Linked DNA regions of Oryctolagus cuniculus. The protein of the gene in region 1 interacts with the protein of each later gene in a pairwise test. Links are inferred from orthologs where the notes say so. Each region holds a gene or a part of one and is shown in the gene's direction. Other genes may lie near its edges.

What was found. The genes of interacting proteins can lie anywhere in the genome.
Region 2: the proteins of CREB3 (region 1) and DRAM1 interact in a two-hybrid assay, tested with the Homo sapiens proteins (2 studies listed by BioGRID and IntAct). The two-hybrid records come from large-scale screens. The link is inferred for Oryctolagus cuniculus from reciprocal best matches to the Homo sapiens genes CREB3 and DRAM1.
Region 3: the proteins of CREB3 (region 1) and TMEM234 interact in a two-hybrid assay, tested with the Homo sapiens proteins (2 studies listed by BioGRID and IntAct). The two-hybrid records come from large-scale screens. The link is inferred for Oryctolagus cuniculus from reciprocal best matches to the Homo sapiens genes CREB3 and TMEM234.

The regions. Positions count from the first base shown.
Region 1 is NC_091432.1:198,639,069-198,644,732, forward strand, and holds the start of CREB3 (cyclic AMP-responsive element-binding protein 3), read left to right. Parts: upstream 1-2,003; coding exon 2,004-2,441; exon of another isoform or gene 2,442-2,445; intron 2,446-2,542; coding exon 2,543-2,680; intron 2,681-2,777; coding exon 2,778-2,925; intron 2,926-3,001; coding exon 3,002-3,069; intron 3,070-3,188; coding exon 3,189-3,278; intron 3,279-4,890; coding exon 4,891-4,997; intron 4,998-5,098; coding exon 5,099-5,167; intron 5,168-5,664. UniProt on the Homo sapiens protein: Endoplasmic reticulum (ER)-bound sequence-specific transcription factor that directly binds DNA and activates transcription. Plays a role in the unfolded protein response (UPR), promoting cell survival versus ER stress-induced apoptotic cell death.
Region 2 is NC_091442.1:104,885,423-104,891,077, forward strand, and holds the end of DRAM1 (DNA damage-regulated autophagy modulator protein 1), read left to right. Parts: intron 1-1,730; coding exon 1,731-1,823; intron 1,824-2,396; coding exon 2,397-2,441; 3' UTR 2,442-4,568; downstream 4,569-5,655. UniProt on the Homo sapiens protein: Lysosomal modulator of autophagy that plays a central role in p53/TP53-mediated apoptosis. Not involved in p73/TP73-mediated autophagy.
Region 3 is NC_091438.1:140,241,841-140,246,114, forward strand, and holds the end of TMEM234 (transmembrane protein 234), read left to right. Parts: intron 1-2,214; exon of another isoform or gene 2,215-2,227; coding exon 2,228-2,320; exon of another isoform or gene 2,321-2,350; intron 2,351-2,537; coding exon of another isoform or gene 2,538-2,599; coding exon 2,600-2,694; 3' UTR 2,695-3,187; downstream 3,188-4,274.

The DNA.
Region 1 (5,664 bases):
GGTGGCAGCTAAGTCAGGGAATGACGGCGTGAGGTCAGGGGCCGGCTCAGCTACAGAGGGGTGAGGAGAATTGGGCTGTGTCCGTGGCTAAATTAGGCTGGGGTGTGTGGGAAGTAAAAGCTGGAGCTAGCACAGGAGGGGGCCAGAGGTTGGGTCAGACTGGGTAGGGGATAGTGCTGTGGTCAGTGGCAGGGTCAGGGTGGGAGTGAAATGGGGGTGTGGTCAATGGCCTGGCAAGGCGTGGGATCAGCAAGACCCAGTTTCCTCTTTGGGTCTCATTTCCTCTTTTCTGTTGGGGAGTGGGGGAAGGGGATCTTTAACTGGACCAAGAAATTAGAGGAGGCGCACAGCAGGAGCTGGGGGTGGGGTCGTCAGCAGCCAGTAGCACTCAGGTGTGTGAACGGGTGAAAATGGTGGGACCCTGCTTTAAGACAATGGGAGAGCTTAGATTTGGGCAAGTAGGAGGTGTGGGTTAAGAAGCAGGGAGGGAGGCTGAATTGAGAATGGGATGAACAACATGGAAGAATGAAAGGCAGGGAGCTAGTTTCTAAAGGGGCGGGTGCAGGAAGGATGCAACATGCAGAGCTAGGGATGAGAGGTAGAGAGGGGGCTTAACAGCGAAGGAAGGAGGGGAGTGGGAGGCAATGGGACTAAGTCCCGAGGGATTCATTCATCCCCTTCTCTCACACAACGGTGGCCCCTGGTCGGCTTCCCCCTTAGCCACTGCTCTCCTCCTCCCTGGGTGGTCCCCACTGCCTGGGTCCCTGGCCATTGCCCACCTCCCATCTCATACAGAACACAGTCCAGCAATCCCTGCCCCGTAACTGTGGTGGCCACAGCAACAGCATTGAGCTTAGAGAGGAATCGAGGAAATTCTACCTGAAGTCCAGAACCCCAACCCAAAATGTGTCATCTCTCTGGCTGAAAGAAGCTCCTGTGACTAAATAAAAATGAGGGGACTTCCCTCCCCCCCACTCTCTCTTTCTCTCACACACACACACACACACACACACCAAAGGCATCGATCTATTGCCGACCTCTTAAATGTTATCTGCCCAAGGTCAATATTCCTGGCCTGGGTCTGCCCTTAGTGCCCTAATTTGTTTCCTCATTCTCATAGAATCCCCCTCCTAGCAGAGACCAGCAAGCATCCAATCCTTGATCCCTAAGGCTCAACTAATTTTTACCGTTAGCACCAAATCTGCTGACTTTAACCCAAAATGTTGACCCCTAAGTCTAAATTAGCTCACCTGTAACTTGATTCCTAACTCACCTTTTCACTGTTTATCCTTAAAACTGACCACGACAATATCCTATGATCCTTAAAATGGACTTCTAACCTAATTCCTGTTGTTGACCATTAACCTGACCCTGAACTCTTTTAACTCTGACTTACCTCTGGTCATCCCAGGAAACAAAATAACGACCTCAACCTCAACCTCACTTATTTATAAAACGGATCTAAATCACGCCAATAACTCAAGCGTTAACCCCGGCCTTACACCTCCTAAAGAGACCCTTGATTCCCAAACCCAACCCCACCTAAACCCAGACTCATCCACAGCTCTCCAGCCCAACATCCCCGCTATCAGCAAACACCAAAGCCCATCCCCGCCCTGCGCCCCGCGGCCGCCACACTCCTCACCCTTCCCCAAAACCTATTCCAGGCCAAGGACTGCTCCCGCAGAGGAGCCACCTCCCGCAGATCGGCCTGCCGAGACACCCTGGAAGCTGACGTCTCCCCCAGAACCCGCCATAGACGCGCCGCAGTCAGGGGCCGCGCCCGCCCGCCTCCCGGGCCAGACCTCGCGGCCCCACCCCGAGGTTCCGGCCCGGCCCGCCGCGGCCTACCTGCGCTGCCCGGCTCTGCGCCCCGCCCGCCGGCCCTGCTCGTCCTCCGGGCCCGCTCTCCGGCTCCGGCCTCGCCCTCCCTTCGCCACACTCGGCCACTTCCGTCCCCGGCGCGTCCCCCACCCCCGGGCGGCGCCCTGGGCCCGCGCTCTATGGTTTTGGGGACCTGCAGGAAGCTGCTCTGGCCCCAGCTCTCGATGCTCGCGAGCCCGCCGAAGACTGGCAGCCCCTCCCCGGCAGGAAGCCAGGGCGCGGCGCAATCCGGAGAAAACACCCCAGCGGCGCCCGAGTTCCCTGTTACACTCGGACTCTTCCTTTTTTCTAGCTCGGGGCGAAGGCGGAGGCGAGTCGCCGGTGTCCCCGCCCCCGGGGCGGGGACGTCCCCCTCATTTGCATCGCCCCCGGGACGTGGCGCAGCACCCGAGCCACTTCCGGCTCGGAGGGAACTACAAGTCCCGAGAGGCCGCGGGGCCGCGTGCGTCACTTGTGCTGTGTTGGAGGCCGAGGGCGACGGAGTCCGGCGGGTGGGTGGGTCGGGCTTGACAGCGACTGCCGCCCCGGCAGCGGGGAAGGCCAGCCGAAGAGGAGCGGTGGGTAGGCGGGAGAGACCCGGCGGTTGGGCTGGGGGTCGTGCCTGGGGCTCGCGTATTGGAACCGGGCTGCGAAGTGAACCCTTGAGTTTCTGCCGTAGATGTCGCAGATGGAGCTGGCGTTGGACCCTGGCGATCAGGACCTGCTCGGCTTCCTGCTCGAGCAGAGCGGAGCATGGGGGGAGGCAGCCGATGAGTCGGTGGAGGCGCCCCCGGATTGGGAGCTGCCGCTTTCCGAGGTGGGTGGGTAGGGCTCCGCGTCAGGGAGGCGCGGCACGTCCGCGAGACCCGGGTGTCAGTGACAGGCCAGGGCCTGGGAATTTGAACCCGGTGCAGGTACTGAGCGACTGGGAGGCAGAGGATCTGCTGAGCACCCTGCTGAGTCCCCCGGCGTCGTTGGCCGACCTCAGCTCCTGCGAGCCCTCGCCTGTGCACCACGATCACACTTACTCCCTCCCACAGGAGCATGTCTCCGTGGACGTAGGTGAGTGACATCAGAAAAGTTGGGAGCTAGAGGAGAGGGTCCGTGGGCCCGGCTAGTCACAATTGCCCTTTTGCAGATAGTGGGAGCTATGGGAAGGAGGAGGCTCCGATGACTCCGCTGTATGTGGAGGAGCCAACAGAGCAGGTAGCTGACTTGATTTTCAGGAGGCTTATCCCCACATTGCACGGGGCGGGGCGGGGCGGGAATTCCCATTTCTTTCGGACATCCCCATGCAACTGCTGCCTACTTCCCCGTAACCTCAGGAGGTTGCTAGGCTGGTACTGACCGAGGAGGAGAAGAGGCTACTGGAGAAGGAGGGGCTTACTCTGCCTGGAACGCTTCCTCTCACCAAGGTAAGGCTCCCATTGGTGGGGCAAAGGCTGGAGGGTGTAGGGGAGGGAGAGTGCAGAGAGGCTGGTCGACCTGTACCGGAATGCAGTCAGATAGGAGTCACTTCTAACGTTATGCTTGGTAGCAGCTGCATTTCAAAATAGCTAGCAGAGAGGATATTCAGTTTCTGATTCAAAGAAATGATAAATGTCTGCAGTGATACATGTGCCAGTTACCCTGCCCTACTTATTTTTACATTGTATACATTACTTAAATGTCACTCTGTATCCTATAGATGTGTGTAATATCAGTGTCAAAAATAAGATACACTTAAGAGGTGAACATCTTAGCAGAGTTGTTGGTTAATATGCTAGATGCAAGGGTGGATCCTGGTTTTGTGAGGCTTCTAACACATTTTGGTGTTCTAAGAAAAAAGATTTCAGAATTATCAATGCAACATTAGCGTAGGGCCTTGGGCAGGACTGTGCAAGGGAAGGGCTCTGCCACTTGGAGTTCATCGGCTTGGTGGTAATCTACATCGCGCTGAATGGGAGAATTGTTTTAGGGAGTTCAATGAGGCTGGATTAAGCCTTCTTTTTTTTTTTTTTTTTTTTTTTGACAGGCAGAATGGACAGTGAAAGAGAGAGACAGAGAGAAAGGTCTTCCTTTTGCTGTTGGTTCACCCTCCAATGGCTGCTGGGGCTGGTGCACTGCGCTGATCTGAAGCCAGGAGCCAGGTGCTTCTCCTGGTCTCCCATGGGGTGCAGGGCCCAAGCACTTGGGCCAGCCTCCACTGCAGAGAGCTGCAGGCCATAGCAGAGAGCTGGCCTGGAAGAGGGGCAACCGGGACAGAATCCGGCGCCCCGACTGGGACTAGAACCCGGCGTGCCGGCGCCGCAAGGTGGAGGATTAGCCTAGTGAGCCACGGCGCCGGCCTGGACTAAGCCTTCTAACAGTACAAATGTAGAAGCATAAGTTTTAAGTTTCAACACTGGGTGGTGACTTCACAAGCACAGTATTGTGACCCTGTAATAAAATAAGTACTTATTAAAGAAATTTTAACTTCTTAAAAGTACAAGATGAGTCAGCAGTGAGATATGGCAAAGCAAGTGGGATGTGGAAGCAGCGTCAATACATGCATTGTCTCTAAAAAGGCAAGACTGTCTTGCTGTCTTTTGTACAAATCACAGTGCATTTTAAGTGCCCAGTTTTGGGCCTGTATCTTTGACAGATACCAAGAGGATGCAGTGATGGTGAAATGTTGGGTTAAGAAGTCTGTCCAGGGTTTTTTTGTGTGTGTGTTTTTTTAAACTCTGAGGAAATGCCAACAGCCTTAAAACAGCTATGTAGAATTTTGTTCTACACGACCCCAGAGATAAGTTCAATGGATAGAAATTACATGGAGGCAGATGTTAATTCAGGGTAAGAAATTTTTCAGTGAATGAAATTGTTAAAAATGCTCTGGCACCTGTGATCTTAACACCTGGTCTTTAGAGGCATTCTGATGGAAACCAAAATGGCTACTGGTTAGGGAGGCTAGACAAGGGATTCCTGCGTTGGCAAGAAGGTCGAGCCCATTTGTCTTCCAGCTCCTCAGTCCAAGGTCCCAAGACCCCTTTCTCTGTCTTCTCTCAGATGGAGGAACAAGTTCTGAAACGAGTGCGGCGGAAGATTCGAAACAAAAAGTCTGCTCAGGAGAGCCGCAGGAAGAAGAAGGTGTACGTGGGGGGTTTAGAGAGCAGGTACGGAAAAGACTTGGGTGGGGCAGAAGCAGTGGTTGGTGGTGTTGGGACTTTGAAGGGGGTGATTCGGGCCTGTCCCCACAGCCTTGTTCTTCTCCCAGGGTATCGAAATACACAGCCCAGAATCTGGAGCTCCAGCATAAAGTGCAGCTCCTGGAGGAACAGAATCTGTGAGCAGCCCTCAGGACCCACCCCTCCCTTCCCCTGCCCATCCCCCTCACTACCGCACTGTCTCACCCTCTGGCCTGCGCTACTCTTGAGTTCTTACTGGGAAGCTCCCACATGCAAGGCCCAGCGCTTGGGCTTTACTGGGTGTGATTCCCGGATGCTCACAGCACTGGGGAATAGATGTACAGGTAACGGTGAGAAATACCAAGAACGAGAAGCGGAAAGTCAGGAAGACCTCTTGAGGCAGGTGGTGTTTGTTGTGGTGTTGTTAGGGCTCGGGCATGGGGCTGGGCAGGGAAAGCCCTGTCTTGGGATTTGGCTGGAGCAGCAGCTCAGGTGAGATGGGCCAGGAACACAGGACACAGAGAGTGCCTGGTGAGGGGCCTGTGCAGAGCTGATCGGGTCACCAGGAACTACTGAAGGTCTTCACAAAGGAGATTAAATCAGGGAGTGAGTTTTGGTTTTGCTTTGTGATTTGTTTTAATGAGGAACTTAACGA
Region 2 (5,655 bases), on another chromosome or scaffold:
ACAATGGCCGGAGCACTTGGGCCATCTTCTACTGTTTTCCCAGGTCATAGCAGAGAGCTGGATTGGAAGTAGAGCAGCCGGGACTTGAACCAGTGCCCATTTGGGATGTCGGCACTGCAGACCGCGGCTTTACCCGCTACACCAAAGCGCCGGCCCTGTGCCTATGTTTTTATAAGCTATCTTCATTGTCTAGGAATGATACGAGATAAGGCAGATTCCCTGCTGCTGGCACCAAAAAGGAAGCTATGCTGTTCTCTATGCTCTGTTGTAGGCTAGTCAGTTTCTCCCCAGTGTGACCTTGGATGAGAACAATGGCTGGATATGACCCGTCCATGGGGAGAGTGATGAGTGATGAATATGAGAGTGTGACCTGCCTTGATTATATCTTTTAGGTGAAAATGGGATCCACAAACTTGCTGTAGAACTGACCTGCAGTTCAGCATGTTTGTTTACTCATTCTTTGTCACCTGTTGCAGAGCAGAAAGAGGATGAGAAACAAATGAAGCCATTATTTGAAGTCAGAGGGGGTACACTGACAGTCCACAGTGAGCTAAAGTGAGCTAAAATGAGCTAAAGTCAGAATGCACTTGTGCATTTTTGACGTAGAATTTAAAAATGCTTTTAAATAAGTTTCCTGCATTATCAGATGAGTTCTCTCTCTCTCTCACATGCACACACGTAGGCTTTTTAAAAAACGCCCCTTTCAAAACAACACTGACGTTTTTATTTTTTCATTTGGTGAAAATAGAATTGAGTTGATGAGACATGGATTCCCCAAGTTCCCTCACTTTCAACAACTATCAGTTCCATTCATTTTAAAGAATTTTCTTGCCTTCCTAAGCAACTGAGTTTTGAATGCCTGGTTAAAGCCATTCAGATCCCTGGCTTCCATGTTCTGGTTCTCGTCCCTGAGAAGATACACAGTAAACCTGTGGAGCTCCTTGTTGGCATTTTCTGTGTTGCCATATCTGGCCTGTCACGTTGAGAGGAACTGTTTGCTGCACCAACACCTTCTGCAGTGACAGAGAACACAGGTGCTGGTGGGGGGTAGTCGCACACTGTGGGACATCTGCAGCATGAATGCAGCATGAATGTTCAGCATGCCCTTCAGTTTCTGAATTCCAGGTGAGGGGAGACCAAGCCATGCCCTTTATGGGAAGTTCTTTCTTTGGTTGAATCCTCAGTTGCTTCACATTCTCAGTTCTTTTGTGGTCCTTCTTCTGCTCTTTGAAGTTAAGTAGACTAAGTCTTAAAACCAGAGTGAGATTTCTCTTTGTCTCTCTCTCTCTGTCTATAACTCTACCTGTCAAAGAAAAAGAAAGAAAGAAAAAAGAAAAAAACCCAGAGTGAGAGCCAGAAAGAAATTCTAAAATAATGGAACTTTTGCTCTCAACAGGCAGAATCCTGACATGGATCTCCGTGGCTTTCCTTACTCGATGAGCGTTCTTCAAAGAGTTCACAGGAAAAAGGAATAGACAAGTTTATTTTGGTGCAAGCATTTTTGAAATCCATGCATACAAGGGGAAGGGAAGGCTTCAAATTTGATGAAAGATGCATATTATGAAAAAGTATGCATGGATTTCAGTTTTTCTTCATCTCAATAAATTAATCTTTTAATTCCATTTTCCATGAACATCTAAAAGTGCCCTTGATCGCCTCCAGGCTACACTTTACGTCTGCACTAGAATGAGTCCTTTAGGCTAAATTCTCTTTCTTTATCATTGCTTCAGGATTATGTATATCACGTGGTGAGTGCAATCTGTGAGTGGATGGTGGCCTTTGGTTTTATTTTCTACTTCCTAACATTCATCCAAGATTTCCAGGTAGGTATTTATTCACTCAAATATTATAAATTGTCAACAATTAGGATTAGTAAAAATTCACAGAAAATTCCTTGCACTTGAAAAAAATAAAGCACTTTCTTTTTACCCTTAATTTGTTTGGGGGGAAAAAAATGTGTGTTGTGCAACTTAGTTTATTAGCTTGTTCCCAAAGGAAAGTGTCTTGACAGCTTTGCCAACCAATGAAATTTTCATTTGTCCTCTGCCATTTGATGCTAATCGTCATGTGCCCTGGTTGTTTTCCTTCTGAGGAGGTCTCACTTACTAGTTCCAAATAATAGGAAATGTGTCTTTTAAAAGAATTGAAAAATGTTCCCAAAGCAGAGCAAAGGTGGGACTTACCAGATTTGGCCACAAGAAAAATCCTATGTTTTGAAACAAGGGAAATATTAACTGAAAGGATATAGGAAGCCAAGAAAATCCTTTAGGACCCACCTCAAGGTAGCACAAGGCACACAATGGGGTCATTTCTGTGGTGGTGCAAAGCTGTTAGAGAGGTCGTTGGCAGCTCTGGACTTGAACTTCTAAACCTTTTCCCCGCTTCCTTCCTAACAGAGTGTCACTCTAAAGATATCTACAGAAATCAACGGTGACGTTTGAAGAAAGAAGCGTACTGTCTCCCTCAGTGAATGTCACAGACAAGTTCTAGAAGTGGTGCAGACAGGCAGGGTTTCGATGCCGCTCTGAGGGGAAGGCAGCTGTGGCACGTGTGGGACTTGCACGTCATTAAGAATTCCCAGTAGTTATATTATTCCCAAAGGTACGTTTCCCTAGAGGGCACACATGACACTGGAGCAATGTTTTTATACTTTCCTAAGTAGACACTTTTTTATATGAACATATTTGTATACAGAAAAGATAAGATGTTACAGAAAATGGAGAGTTCTTATTTTTGTACAGATTTTACAGTTTTTTTGTGTGTGTGAGTGATTTGTGAAACTACACTAAATAAGGAGCCTAAGTAAAGTCAATTACTCATTTTTAAATTGCTTTTATAGAGAATGTACTGTATATTTTTATCATGAGAGCATTTATAAAATTCAGTTTCTAGAGGTGATACACCCAATCATACAGATTTATTAATGAGCTAACACTAAGCTACTCTGGTTTTTAGCTGAGCTAAGCAAAGTGCTTCTGTCGAGATGCCTTAATACCACTCACTATGCACATCCACTCTCAGTGAGCACAGGAGACGGCGTCTTGAAATTCTGCCTCTTCGTTTCTCCCTGCTCCCAGGGCTGCAGCCCTGACCCTCGATGCGAGTCGGCAGTGTGTAGTGGAGGTGATTCCAGGTGAGATGGATTCAGCAAGGCAGACTAGAAATTCTAAACCCCTCCTTCACTGTTACTGCTGTCAATTGACCCATCACGGCCTGACTCAGAAACTGCAGCTCACAGCTCCCGCTCATTCCACGCACATGTTGAAGAGAGCCTAGGTCCAGAGAGAGACAAGGAGAGAGGAGAGGGGCAGCCGGAGCTCATGGGAGCAGGGTGCTATTAATTTGCTGCTCCGTTGAGTGCCTGTGGCTGGATGTCCCACAGCACTGTAGGACGTGAGAGCTCGGCCCTTTGTGTTAAGCCCAACCTACAGGCTCCGCTTTGCACCCAAATCACCAGTGATAAGTGAAAAGCCAGTCATTCCGGAGGAGGAAGTAGCCCTCACAGTATTGGGTGTAGGGTTGGAAATCCAAGAGAAGGAACTCTCCTTATCAAACACTCCCCCAGATCACAACCCCGTGTCTGGCCCAGTGGGAGCAGTCCTTCCAGGTTAATGCCTAAGGTTCAACTGCCCATCTGGACGGCCTTGGAGGGTGTCTCGGGAGTCAGGAGCATGGGGAAGTGCCTTACTAACTGCTGAATGAGCAGAGGGGTGAGCCGGGACAGTGGTCAGCCACCTCGGCGATGACCCACTGCACCTCCCCTGAGCACTCAGCAGCAGCAAGGCGCTAACCGTTTCTGGGTCTGCTGTAACTTGTAAGGCTGCAGCTCCCCGTTGTAACACTGGGACTGCAAGACAGGGACCAAGACTATTAAGCTTTCATGTGTCCGTGGAGGAATGCCACATGCCTTCTTTGTGGAAGCTACAGTGGAGTGAGTCTACGGTTCTGTTTTGCTTTGAACAGGCTTCAGTGGTCAGCATTAAATGTCATCGTCACATTGCACTGCCCTTCATTCCCATATTTCTCCATGTCGTTAGACTGAAAGCTCCTTGGGGGCAGACTGAGTGCCTTAATCTTGTAACTCCAGCATTTAACACAGTGCCTGCCGGTGTCCCGCAGGGACTTAAAAATACCCATTCACCACATGCATGCATAGAAGAATAAACCTATGAGGGCAGTGCCGGGGTATTTGTAGTGCTACAGAGTGAGATTCACCATGGTTTACTAGCTTGATGATAAGCAGTCTGTGTCACCCAGTAATGTTGACCATTTTGCTTTGTGTACTGAACCTTTCAGTTGTTTGGGCCTCATGATTCTATGACAACTCTCTTCAGCCTGGACAAGTTATCACAGAGATTGTTACATGGGCTAGACCAAATGTTACACCTGACTTGGCAAACTGAGAAGGGCAAAAATCACTCAAGACAGTCACATTCTGCTGATTCCATGCAACTTCTAACGCTGGTCAAAATCACATTTTGGTATTTTTAGTTTCCATGAATTTGTATTTCCTTGGACCTCATGGATGGAAGAGTAAAATAAAATGGAATATTTCTTTATTTTAGTAATTTGTGTCTCTTTTAAATTATAAGATGTCGCCTGGGGGTTACTATAAATGTATGTGGCTGGGAGATTATATCAGATACACTTGGACTTTATAAAGGTATAATTTAAACCTTATATTTTCTTAATTCATGTAGCTCTGCATGGAGGCATGACAGGTTTATCTTTTGCAAGTTCTAAAACATGAGTCCCAGAAATTTCTATCAGTCAAGACCCTTAGAATTAAAGGCATCAAGAAACCCAGCTGTGCTGAAGGAGAAAGGGGCGTCTGCATTGACTCAAGTGGGAAATCACAAGTGGAGCTGGCTTTAGGGATCCCTGGATCAAAAAGTGTCCCCGGGACTCCACCGTACTCTCCTCTAGGCTCTGCTCTCCTCTCAGATGCCACCATTCTCAAGCAGGCTGTCCCCTGGTGGGAGTGGGAGGGCTTCTGGAATGTTCCAGGCCACAATCTATTCTGTGGAAAGAGAGGGTTTCACAATGAATTGAAATTCACTGTCCGATTGGTTGGCTTGAATCACATGCCCAAGGAGAAAGGATGCTCTGATTGGTCAGACCTGTGTCACATGTCCACTTCTGGAGCAAGAAGGGGTCAACACCACTGAGACTACTGGGTTGATGGAAGGTGAAAGTTAGTTTACGGAAGAAAGGGCTCTGAAAAGGAGCTTGGACTGACAAAAAGCACAATCCACCGAGGAATGAATCCTCCCCTCCCTCCCCCAGAATAAATTAATGACACTTGCTCACAACCTTTTCAGATTGAAAAAAATGGGGGAAAAGTAAATGTAAGCTGTTTAGATAATACAGGTGCTGTCTTCTAACTTCAAAATTAAGTTTATGTTTTCCAAGACTCTTGTGTTCTTATTTAACCCCCATGGGGTGCATCAGACAGTTAATTATCACGTTTTTCTCCATTGCACTGAGAGCTTCAGTGACCTGCAAGTAGTTCTACACAGGGCAACAGATTCCAATCTGGGATTCTGGTTTCCTGCTTCCTAATCAAATGGCCCTCCTCCCCTCCTCACCCCTCCTCTCTTCTCTTCTCTCCTCTCCTCTTCTTTTTTTTTTTTTTTTTTTTTTAACACTAACATA
Region 3 (4,274 bases), on another chromosome or scaffold:
CCAAGGACTTGGGCCATCTTCTACTGCTTTCCCAGGCCATAAGCAGAGAGCTGGATTGGAAGAGGCACAGCCAGGACACGAACCAGTGCCCACATGGGATGCCTGTGCCACAGGCAGAGGCTTAGCCCACTACACCATAGCGCTGGCTCCATTACCTTGTGTTTTGCTTTGCCAATATCCATTTTTTTAAAAAAGATTTATTTATTTGAAAGAGAGAGGTAGCAACAGAGAGAGAGAGAAAGGTCTTCCATCCGCTGATTTACTCTCCAAATGGCCAGAATGGCTGGAACTTGAGCCTATCCGAAGCCAGGAGCCAGGAGCTTTTTCCAGGTCTCCCACGTAGGTGCAGGAGCCCAAGGACTTGGGCCATCCTCTACTGCTTTCCCAGGTGCATTAGCAGGGAGCTGGATCAGAAGTGGAGCAGCCAAGACTCAAACCAGTGCCCATATGGGATGCTGGCTCTGTAGGCTGGGGCTTTAACCCTCTGTGCCACTGCACCGGCCCCACCAATATCCATCTAATTTAGTAAGGGCACAGGCTTTCGAGTCAGGCAGACCTTGGTTTAAACCCTCAATTTGGCACAGTGGTTAAGACAATGTTTGGGGGCCGGCGCCGTGGCTCATTTGGTTAATCTTCCACCTGTGGCATCCCATATGGGTGCCAGGTCCTAGTCTCGGTTGCTCCTCTTCCAGTCCAGCTCTTTGCTGTGGCCCGGGAAGGCAGTGGAGAATGGCCCCAGTACTTGGGCCCCTGTACGCATGGGAGACTAGGAGGGAGCACCTGGCTCGCTCCTGGCTTCGGATCAGCGCAGCGCGCTAGCCGTAGCAGCCATTTGGGAGGTGAACCAACAGAAGGAAAACCTTTCTCTCTGTCTCTCTCTCTCTCACTGTCTAACTCTGCCTGTCAAAGAAAAAAAAAATAAGTAAATAAATAAAAAAGAACTGGAACAGCCCAGACTTGAACTGGCGCCCATATGGGATGCCAGCACTGCAGGCAGAGGCTTAACCTTATATGTCACAGCACTGTCCCCCAAACATTGTCTGCACCATGCGGGTGCAGGACCCAAGCACCTGGGCCATCCTCCACTGCCTTCCCAAGCCACAGCAGAGAGCTGGACTAGAAGAGGAGCAACCGGGACAGAATCCGGTGCCCTGACCAGGACTAGAACCCAGAGTGCTGGCGCCTCAGGCGGAGGATTAGCCTAGTGAGCCGCGGCACCAGCCTGTTCCAGTTCTGATCCAGCTCCCTGTTAATGCATCTGGGAAAGCAGTGGAAAATGGCCCAAGTCCCTGGGCCACTGTGCCCAGGTGGGAGTCCTGGAAGATGCTCCTGGCTCCTGGCTTTGGCCTGGCCCATCCCTGGCCGTGGGGGCCATGTGGGGAGTGAACCAGTGGATCGAAGATCTCTCTCTGTATTTCTGCCTTTCAAATAAATTAATTAAAAAGAAAAAAGACACCACTTAGGACATCTGCATCCCATGTCAGAATGCCTGAATTTAAGTCCCACCTCCACTTCCAATTCCAGCTTCCTGCCTGGGAGGCAGATGATGGCTTAAGTGCTTGGGTCCCTGCCACCCATGTTGGGGACCCAGATTGGGTTCAAGGCTCTGGACTTCTGCCTGGCCTACCCCTGGTTGTTGCAAGTACTTGGGGAGTAAGCCAGCAGATGGAAAAAACTCTATCTCTGCTTTCCAAATAAATACATTTAAACCCTCAATTTGTCTATATTTGTGCGACTTCTTTGAGCCTTTCTTCCCTTTGGTGACAGTTCTCTCCTTGTGGTGTTGTGAGCAAGGTCACATGTGAAAATGACATGAGACGTACACAGAGCACTGTGCGTAGCCTGTGCTTTATCGACAGTAGCCGTGCTTGGCGCTGTTACACAGGTTCCACCGTGTCCTTTGGGCTGTAGGTGCCTTCGTATCTGTGTGCCTGTCTGTCTGTCTAGAAGATCTCAGTTCTCTCTGAATGCAGAGACCTCATTCTCACTGTCAAGCCAGGCTGGTCTCACACCCGAGCTCAGGGCTACGCTGGAATCCCGAGAATGCATGAACTGGGAGTCAGGAGGCCTGGGTTAGAGTCCTGAGCTCTGCTGTGACTTCCTCTGGCGCTGGGGTCAGGACGCCTTTCTGAAAGGTGTGCAGTGGCCACGAGGGTGAGATGAACGTGTTTGTGACGGGAAAGGCATTTCCTGCACCTCAGGGGCTCTCCTCACCTTGACCACCCAGACCTGACTCTCGCCGTGCCCATCTGTAACTCCCTGGCCATCGTCTTCACAATGATCGTCGGGAAGATCCTTGGAGAAGAAATTGGTGGCAAACGTAAGTCAGGCTGCTGCCCGGCCGTGACAACCCTGGGTGGTTCTGTCCCACGCCCATCTCCCAGGGGCTGGTGAGGAGAGGGCCTTCCGCCATCCTGCCCCTTTCCTCTGCACCTGTCCTGCTTCCTGGTGGTCATCACTTTCCTTCCCCTGGGCAGTCTGGGGACAGATGCTGGGGTGGAAATTGGGACAAGCCCTCATGTGAGCTCTCCCGCCAGCCCAGTATCAGCTCCCACTGGCATGGCTGAGCCGAGTCCCTGATTTCCGCCTGTTATCCCAGGAGCCATCGCCGGCATGGTGCTCACCGTGACGGGAATTACACTGTGCATCACAAGCTCAGTGACCAGGACCCACAGGCAGCCATCTGCTCTTTGACCCCCAGCAGCCCTGCTGTCTCCAGGGAGGCCCGGGTCACAAGGCGCAGGCCCTGAGCAGGGAGAGCTGGCACGTCCTCCCATCTCATGTGGAGAACAGCTACCTCATGATCATGTTAAGGACCACGAGCACACGGGAGACTCACACACCCTCAGCATCCTCTCGGCCCGAGCAGCTCTCTTCCTGCCGTCAGTGCCAGGGCCTTCTGTGAACTGTCACGGGGCAGAAGCCAAGGACGGCAGCACCCCCGCTGCAGTCTCTGAGCCGGAAGTGCAGACAGGAGGCCCCCAGGGGTCAGAGTCCCCACACATCAGGATGGCAGCAGAGATGAGCTGTCTGCCAGCCCCTCCCATCCCACCAGGTGGTGGCCAGGAATCCACCACTGTTAGCCCCTCTCCCGCCGGAGTCAGTGTGAGCCCAGCCTGCCCAGCCAGCACCCAGCACAACACCCGGTAGCAACAGCCTCCAATAAATCTGCAGTCAGCAGGGACTATTTACGTCTTCTTTTATTGTGGCAGACGCACTCCCACGTCTGGGGTCTGCCTCCCAAGCTGTTTGCTGCTCCTCTCTCTGGTCAGAGAATCGTGTAAGGACAGGGCTGCTCTGCTCAGGAAGGGGACTGGGCTGTGGGCCTGGGCGGGGAGGGCGGGCGGACAGGCCTCGGCCCCAGGGAGCAGGCTGTGGGAGGCGGAGGATGAAAGGTGGTGGTCCCCAGTTCTGTAGCCACCGGCTGTCATGGCAGAGCAGGGGCTGAGGCTGAGAGCCTCTCCAGCCCCAACCCCAGGCTGGCCGGCCAGGGACAGGTCCTCTTCCACCACCTCTGCTGCCTGCTGCAGGGGGTGGAGAGCCATGCAGAATGGAGCTATGATCTGTCCAGCCTCAGCCCGCAGTCCCCCAGCCCCCAGAGAAAAAAAAGACAAGAAATTAGGAACTGCTTTCACATCCACTAAGCCAGGAGCTGGACTCTGGCATGTCAGATCTGTTTACATCTGTCACAAGGCGAGAACTGTGCCCAGGGCCCAGGCTGCTGGTTTCCAGCTCAGAACTGCCCTGCCAGCACACTGCTTCCTGACCCCACAGCTCACCTGATCCAGGGGCTCCTCTGTCTGCGTGTTGTCATCCTCCGCCACTTCCTGGGCCTCTGCCGTCTCCCGCCTTGGATGGGGAGCCCCATACACTCCCTTAACTCCTAATAAGGGAGCAACACGGGCCGATGTCCAGGCTGAGGGGCCCTTGGCATTCTTGCCCTGGACTTTCCGCACCAGCCCCGTCCCTTCCCCTGGGGCTTGTGCACATGCCCCACTACCCCAGAGGAGAGTAGGGAAGTCCAAGGTGAAAGCCCCCACAGCCACCCCTTATAAATCCCGCCCCTGAAGTCTCCACTGCTTTGTGGTAAGCAGGGAATCCCTTTCCGTGTGCTCCCTGTCTTGTGACAAGTCCCTGTGAAGAAGCAAGGGACCCAGGTGGGGCACTAGGTCATGGCAGCCCCCACCGGCATTCCCAACAACAGTAGCGACCGTCCTGTCACTGTCCAGGGGCACCGGGGCCCAGCACCTGGTGGAAATGAGAGCGTGCAGAGC